Linked DNA regions of Macaca mulatta. The protein of the gene in region 1 binds, or shares a complex with, the protein of each later gene. Links are inferred from orthologs where the notes say so. Each region holds a gene or a part of one and is shown in the gene's direction. Other genes may lie near its edges.

The links.
Region 2: the proteins of ANKS6 (region 1) and ANKS3 are in contact, whole or in part, in a crystal structure (PDB 4NL9), measured with the Homo sapiens proteins. The link is inferred for Macaca mulatta from reciprocal best matches to the Homo sapiens genes ANKS6 and ANKS3. Residues at the interface, in NP_775822.3 of Homo sapiens: Glu796, Gln797, Glu798, Val799, Asp800, Glu802, Ala803, Thr806, Leu807, Asp811, Glu814, Leu815; in NP_597707.1 of Homo sapiens: Lys441, Tyr442, Thr470, Leu471, Phe472, Gly473, Pro474, Arg476, Lys477, Arg484.

What each region holds. Positions count from the first base shown.
Region 1 is NC_133420.1:59,611,127-59,615,525, forward strand, and holds the start of ANKS6 (ankyrin repeat and SAM domain-containing protein 6), read left to right. Parts: upstream 1-1,544; 5' UTR 1,545-1,604; coding exon 1,605-1,963; intron 1,964-4,399.
Region 2 is NC_133425.1:5,973,353-5,977,160, reverse strand, and holds part of ANKS3 (ankyrin repeat and SAM domain-containing protein 3), read left to right. Parts: intron 1-1,764; coding exon of another isoform or gene 1,765-1,832; coding exon 1,833-1,968; intron 1,969-3,808. UniProt on the Homo sapiens protein: May be involved in vasopressin signaling in the kidney.

The sequences.
Region 1 (4,399 bases):
ACTTAAAATAGAACTACTATTTGACCCAGCACTCCTACTACCAGGTATATATTGAAAGGAAAATAATTCATTCTATCAAAAAGACACCTGTATGTTCATTGCAGTGCGGTTTACAGTAGCAGGGATATGGAATCAACCTAAGTGCCCATCAACAGTAGATTGGATAAAGAACATGTGGTACAGAGTCATATGTAATGGCTCACACCTGTAATCCTGGCACTTTGGGAGGCCACAGCGGGCGAATCACTTGAGCTCAGGAGTTTGAGACCAGCCGGGCAACATGGTGAAACCCTGTCTCGACCAAAAATACAAAAAATTAGCTGGGTGTGGTGGCACTCGCCTGTAGTCCTAGCTACTCGGGAGACTGAGGTGGGAGGATTGCTTAAGCCTTGGAGGCAGAGGTTGCAGTGAGTAGAGATTGCACGATTGCACTCCAGCCTGGGTGACAGAGCAAGACAGAGAGAGAGAGAAAGAGAGGGAGGGAGGAAGGGTGATAGGGAGGAAGCGGGATAGGTAGGGAGGGAGGGAGGTAAGAGAGGGAAGGAAGGAAAGAAATGTGGTGCATATACACGATGGAATAAGATGGAATACTACGGAATACTATGAAGCCATAAGAATGAACGAAATCATGTCCTTTGCAGCAACATGGATGGAGCTGGAGGCCATTATCCTAAGCGACCTAACAAGAACAGAAAACCAAATACTGCATGTTCTCACTTATAAGTGGGAGCTAAACATTGAGTACACATGGACACAAAGATGGGAACAATAAACGCTGGGGATCGCTAACCAGGGAGGGATAGAGGGAACTCTAGGCTGAAGAACCTCTTGGTGGGTATTATGCTTACTGCCTGGGTGACGGGATCGTTGGGACTCCAAGCCTCAGCGTCGCGCAGTGTACCCATGTAACAAACCTGCACGTGTACCCTTTAATCTATAATAAAAGTTGAAATAAAAGAGAGAGAAAAGGTACAGGAGGCGCTTGTAGCCCCAGCAGCCCGGCCCAGATGAAGGAGGGGCATTAAGGGCACTGCAGGACACTGTGAGGAAACAATAAACCCGCTCGTTCCTTAATTCAGCCGCTTCCTTATTCTGGAAGCGCAGGTTCAGTGCCAGAGGCTGGGGTGGGGTCAGCGGAGCCCGCTAGTAAAGTCAAGGGCCATGCAGCTGCGGACTCAGACTCGGGCCCAGGGCCCTGGCCGCAGCGTGAAGAGGGGATGGGGTCGCCGCTCCCACCTCTGCCCTGGCAGGAAGTCTCTGGAGCTCCGGGACAGGGCAGCGAGCGGGCGCCGAAGAGGCAGAAGGGGACACGCGGGCCTGCAGCGGGGTCTCCTCTGAGCTTCCCTGGACTCCCAAGTGCGGGCACTGGAGGTGCGCAGTCCTGGCCTTGGCGCGCTCCCGGCACAAAGTAGGCGCGCGGCCCCGGCTCCAGCGCGCTCCCGGCACACAGTAGGCGCGCGGCCCCGGCCCCGGCGAGCTCCTAGCACACAGTAGGCGCGCGGCGCGGGCGGGCGGCCGGAAGGGGGCGCCGGCGGGCGGTATCCGGGGGCGGAGCCGACGCGGCCGGCAGGGCGGACGGGCGCGGGCCGCGCGTGGCTACGGCGATGGGCGAGGGCGGGCTGCCCCCGGCCTTCCAGCTGCTGCTGCGCGCGTGTGACCAGGGCGACACGGAGACCGCGCGGCGGCTGCTGGAGCCGGGGGCAGCGGAGCCAGCCGAGCGCGGCGCGGAGCCGGAAGCGGGCGCGGAGCCGGTGGGGGCCGAGGCGGCCGGGCCCGGGGCCGCAGCAGCGGCGGCAGTCGGGGCTCCGGTGCCCGTGGACTGCTCGGACGAGGCGGGCAACACCGCACTGCAGTTCGCCGCGGCCGGGGGCCACGAACCGCTGGTGCGCTTCCTGCTGCGCCGCGGTGCCTCGGTCAACAGCCGCAACCACTACGGCTGGAGCGCGCTCATGCAGGCGGCCAGGTGAGGCGGCGGGGCTCGGGGGCCCTGGACGCGGCCCCGGGCGGCCGGATCTCCCCGGCGGCCAGATGTCCCGGGAGGTAAAGAGTTAAGGACTCTTTAGAGTTGGGATGGTAAACTTTGAGTAGTCTTTGGTAAACTTTGAGCATAGAAATGGAAATACTTTTGTATTAACATAAAATCAGATTCTTAGAAACTTTGGCCTTTCAGAATAGAATCTGGAGACAACGAACAGAATCGTAGAGACTTAGAACCTTAGAGATTTAATTCATTTCTTTTTTTTTCTTTTTTTTTGAGATGGAGTCTGGCTCTGTCGCCCAGACTGGAGTGCAGTGGCGCGATCTCAGCTCACTACAAGGTCCTCCTCCCGGGTCCATGCCATTCTTCTGCCTCAGCCTCCCGAGTAGCTGGGACTACAGGCGCCCGCCACCACGCCCGGCTATTTATTATTATTATTATTATTATTATTATTATTATTATTATTTTAGTAGAGGCGGGGTTTCATCGTGTTAGCCAGGATGGTCTTGATCTCCTGACGTTGTGATCCGCCTGCCTCAGCCTCCCAAAGTGCTGGGATTACAGGCGTGAGCCACCGCGCCCAGCCTGATTTAATTCATTTCTCATTGCAGTAAGGGTTTCCTCAGAACCTGCTTTCCCTTCCTGGCTTGGCGTTGAGGATGTTCCGAGACCAGGCAGAGTCACCACCAGGGCAGTGGTGGACAGGCCAGGCAAAGGAACGAGCTTGACCGGAAAGGTTTGAGTAGCTCTGGGGGCAGTTGACCCATTTTGGAGACGTTGGGGAAGGTTTCTGGTAGAAATGATGTTTATATCCACGTGGAGATAACCTCCACGTGGATGCCTGAGAATTAGCCAGGACAGAACAAGTGGGATGTGGGAAGGGCATGATGGGAGGCCCATGCAAAGGCTTGGGTGCACGAGCTGGTAGGACTAGTAGAATTATGTATGAGTAGAATGATGTACTAGTCCCCCCTGGAGAGAAGGCGGTTGCCAGGGAATGGGGGGAGGGGGGAGCTGAGGAATTTACTGAGTGAGGTTTGTGACTGCAGCACTAACGTGCCTCGGAGTGTCTCGGAGACCCCTGATCACCAGTTTTAACCAAGTCCTGCAGGATAGTCTGAGCCTGGGTATTTTAAAATGTGCTGTTCCTCAGTTGGTGTGACACCGACTATATATTCAGGTAGCATCTCTGCCTGTGTTGAGTTGTGCTCCGGCTTTCTGCTGCGTAATTCATACCAAAAGGTCAAGTTGAGGAGTAGTATGTATGGAAGACTTCCAGAAGGATGTATAGTGTGTCTGTCCCTCATATCAGGGTCAGCAAATGCATGGCCCATGTGCTGACACTTTCCAAGCCTTGTGCTCTTCTTCCTTGGATCTGGATATGCCCCAGAATCCTGCTCAAAACCGCACCCCTGGCAGCCACCACACTGGGTCTAAGCGAGCATCTATTTATCATCCCAGCTCTCTGTGTGCATCAGGCCAGACTGTCAGACACCCTGTGCCTTTGGACTCTTGTGGGTGTTTTAGTATTAGAAATGGTGACGTTAGTGTTTTTTCTTTTCTTTCTTTTTTTTTTTTTTGTTTTGAGACAGAGTCTCGCTGTCACCAGGCTGGAGTACAGCGGCGCGATCTCGACTCACTGCAACCTCCACCTCCCGGGTTCAAGCGATTCTCCTGCCTCAGCCTCCCAAGTAGCTGGGAGGCACGTGCCACCACGCCCGTGCCACCCTGCCCAGCTAATTTTTGTATTTTTAGTAGAGACAGGGTTTCACCATGTTGGCCAGGCTGGTCTCGATCTCTTGATTTCGTGATCCACCTGCCTCAGCCTCCCAAAGTGCTGCGATTACAGATGTGAGTCACCGTGCTCCGCCGTGTTTTTTCCTGTTCTTAAAATAACAGGTAACCTTTGGCTGGGTGCGGTGTCTCACGCCTGTAATCCCAGCACTTTGGGAGGCCGAGGCGGGCAGATCACGAGGTCAGGAGATCAAGACCAGCCTGGCCAACACAGTGAAACCCTGTCTCTACTAAAAATACAAATATTAGCTGGGCGTGGTGGCGTGGGCATGGTGGCATGCGCCTGTAGTCCCAGCTACTCGGGAGGCTGAGGCAGGAGAATCGCTTGAACCCAGGAGGCGGTGGTTGCAGTGAGCTGAGATCCTGTGACTGCACTCCAGCCTGGCAACAGCAAGACTCCATCTCAAAAAAAAAAAAAGTAACCTTTATGGAGCACCTACTTTCAGTCAAGCACTGTGCTAAGTGCTTTAAATGAATTAACTCATTCGATCTATACAAAACCTTAGGAAGGAGGTACTCTTGTCATCCTCATTTCATAGATGAGGAATTGAGGAACAGAGAAGTTAAATAACTTGCCTCAGTCACATAGCTACCAAGTCGCCAGACAGATGCACACTTAGGGAGGTG
Region 2 (3,808 bases), on another chromosome or scaffold:
TAATCTCTTATTCTAGATTCTTTCTGATTCTTACTATGCTGAATGCCACAGTGAAAATTCTAAATTGTAGTGTATGTCCTGCATTATTTCCTTAGGCGCCATTGTACTTCAGCCTGGGTAACAGAGCAAGATCCTATCTCAAAAAAAAAAAAAAAAAGCAAACATGCTTATGATAGTACATTTTAAAAACATAGAAGATTGGACAATTGGAAAAATCTCCATCAAAAATAATAAATAACTTAAAAATAGCAACCTTTTGGGTATGTTACCGTCCAATACTGTTTTCTGTGTACTTTTATTTTTTGTCTCGTTTTGCAGGAGTTGTAATGTATATGTAGTTTTGTACCATGATCCTTTTTTATTTTTTTTGAGACAAGGTCTTGCCCTATTGCTCAGGCTGGAGTGCAGTGGCGCGATCTCAGCTCGCTGCAGCATCCACCTCTGGGACTTAAGGGATCCTCCCGCCTCAGCCTCCTGAGTAGCTGGGACCACAGGCGTGTGCCGCCATACCCTGCTCGTTTTTATTAAAGATGCTCCCCCTTTCTGGGGTCCCACCTCCTCCTCTGGGATTTGGCTCTGGCTTCCCTGCCTACCCCCGCTGCCTGGACTAACAGGAGAGCAGGACAGTTACGGTATAGAGCAACACCAGAAACATGCTGTATTGATTATAGTTTGTTGTTTTTTCTTGTAGAGGTGGGGTCACACTGTGTTGCCCAGGTTGTTCTCCAACTCCTGAGCTCGAGCGATCCACCTGCCTTGGCCTCCCAAATATTAGGATTACAGGCATGAGCCACCTCACTTGGCCATGATCCTTTTTTAACTTGATCATACAGCCGTTTGTAAATCTCATCATCTATGGCAATAACGTAACTGGCTCCTTGTCCCCCTGAGCATTCAAGTTGTCTCTAGGTAGGTTTTCATTATTGTGAATATGTTATGCCAAACTTTTTTTTTTTTTTGAGACAGAGTCTCACTCTGTCATCAGGCTGGAGCAGTGCAGTGGCACGATCTCGGCTCACTGCAACCTCCGTCTGCTTCCCGGGTTCAAGTGATTCTCCTGCCTCAGCCTCCCGAGTAGCTGGGACTTTAGGCATTCGCCACCACACCAGTTAATTTTTTGTATTTTTAGTAGAAGGGGTTTCACCATGTTGGCCAGGATGGTTTCGATCTCCTGACCTTGTGATCTGCCCACCTCGGCCTCCCAAAGTGCTGGGATTACAGGTGTGAACCACCGTACCCGGCCTGTGCCAAACGCCTTTGCACACTAAAGCTTTCTCTGTATTTAGGGTTATTTCCTTAGAGTCATGGAAGTGGAATTGCTGCACCACAAGACCTGTAAATACATGATAGAGCTTTTGATCAAAGTGATGAATTCTGCTTCAGAGGATGGTGCTTTCATTCTGACTGGTTAAAAAGGCTGCTTTCATTGTGAACTGCTGTCTCCAGCTTTCTTTGAGTGAAGACAAGCAAAGCGAGTGGGACACAGCCTAGGCGCAGAAGGTGAAGGCTGGGCTCTCCCCATGGTGGCTGCCAGCCCACTGCAAGGGAGGTCATGAGTGTGGCGGGCAGCAGTGGGAAGCCGAGAGCTGCCACAGCTGGGAGATGACTCCCCAACCCAAGCCCCCCTCATGCTTGTCACTAAAAAGAGAGTGAGAGCAAAACTTGTGGCTACGATGCAGACAAGCCCGCCTTTTTCTCATGCAGATGTGGCGTTTCCCGTGCAGGGAGGCAGCCAGAAACCAGCATATGCCCTTCTCTTCCCAGCCAGCAGCCCAGGAACGGCAGGCACTTTGAAGGAGAGGCTCCTAACCCCCTTTCACGGACATTCGCAGGGAGTCAAGGTGGATGCGAGAGACCACAGTGGAGCCACAGCCCGGATGCTGGCCAAGCAGTACGGACACATGAAGATCGTGGCCTTGATGGACACTCACTCGCCCTCTCTGCCCAAGAGCCTCTATCGGAGCCCAGGTACCCACACCTGCCAGCCGTGCCCTGCTGGGGTCTCTGGTTGTCTTCAGCTTCAGGTGACCTGGCAGAGAAAGATGTCCCCCTCTTCCCCGGCTCCCACCTTCTCCTCTGAGATTTGGCTTTGCCTCCCCCAGCTGCTTCCATGTCAAGGTTGAGGCCGCTGCTCTAACAGGAGAGAAGGATGGTTATGATGGAGAGTGGCACAAAACCAGGCTGTCGTGACTGTAGAGGCTTTCTGTAGTATGCTTGACTACCGAGTCGCGGCAGGCCCCCTTAGTTTTCTGTTTTCACCGTTTCCTGGGCTATGGCTTATTCATTTTTCTGTATGAACTTGAATATCAACTTGTCTAGCTCCTTAAAAACAGCTTGATACTTTTATGGAGATTGTGACAGTGTATGAATTAACTCTATCTTTGTGGTGTTGAGTTGTCCTGTCTAAGAACAAGGGATGTCTTCTTGTTCCAGTGTACTTTTGGGTCTTGCAGGAGGGTTTTAAATTTTTCTTCATCTATATTTTGCATATGACTAGTTTGTTCCTAAGTGTTTGATCATCTTTTTTCCTATTGTAATGGGATTTTCCCTACCATTATACCCCTTTTTTTCCCCCAAATCTCAGGGTATTAATTATTCAGTGCTATTTATTTTTTATTTCAGTAGGTTTTTGGGGAACAGGTGGTGGTTGGATATGTGAATAAGTTCTTTAGTGGTGTCATTATATCGTTTAACTGCATATTGTCAGTGCATTTGAAGGCAGTGGATTTCTGCAAACTTTTTTTTTTTTTGAGATGGGAGTTTCGCTCTTGTTGCTCAGGCTGGAGTGCAGTGGTGCAATCTCGCCTCACCGCAGCCTCCGCCTTCCAGGTTCAAGCAATTCTCCTGCCTCAGCCTCCAAAGTAGCTGGGATTACAGGCGTGCATCGCCATGCGTGGCTAATTTTTTGTATTTTTAGTAGAGATGGGATTTCTCCATGTTGGTCAGGCTGGTCTCAAACTCGTGACCTCAGGTGATCCACCAGCCTCGGCCTTCCACAGTGCTGGGATTACAGGTGTGAGCCACTGCGCCCGGCCCTGCAAACTAATTTTATATTCTGCTACCTTACAGAATTCTTGTATTGTTCAGGTTAGTTTTGTTACTGATTCTTTAGGGCTTTACAGGTGTACTAACATATAATCTTTAAGTATCGATGAATACACTGCTACCTGCTGATTCTTATGACTCTGACTTTGTTGAATTGCATTGTTCTTTGTTTAGTTGCTGACACCTCTAGCCCGTTGTTCAGTATAGTGGAGACTGTGCGCCTCCTCACCTTGGTCCTGATCTTAGTGGAAACGCCTCATTATGTGAGAGCGAAGGCATATGTTATTTTACCATATTAACAAAGTATTCATCAGTTCTTGTATTCTTGAGTGGTGTTTTACTGGAGTAACTATTGAATTTTGTTTCCTTATCTTTGGAGACGACTGTGAATTTTCATATGGTAGCTTGTCTTCATGAACCTCCTAATAACGAATCAACTTTACATTCTTGGCATAAATCACACATGTTGTATTATTTTAATGTGTTTTTGAATTCTGTTTATTAATATTTAGTATTTCTCAATGGATACTTAGTCATAAGTGATATTGGTCTATAGTTTTCTTTCTTCTTTTTTTTTGTTTTTGAAATGGAGTCTTGCTGTGTTGCCCAGGCTGGAGTGCAGTGGCAAGATCTCAGCTCACTGCAACCTCTGCCTCCTGGGTTCAAGCGATTCTCCTGCCTCAGCCTCCCAAGTAGCTGGGATCACAGTCATGCACCACTACACCCAGCTAATTTTTGTATTTTTAGTAGAGATGGGGCTTCA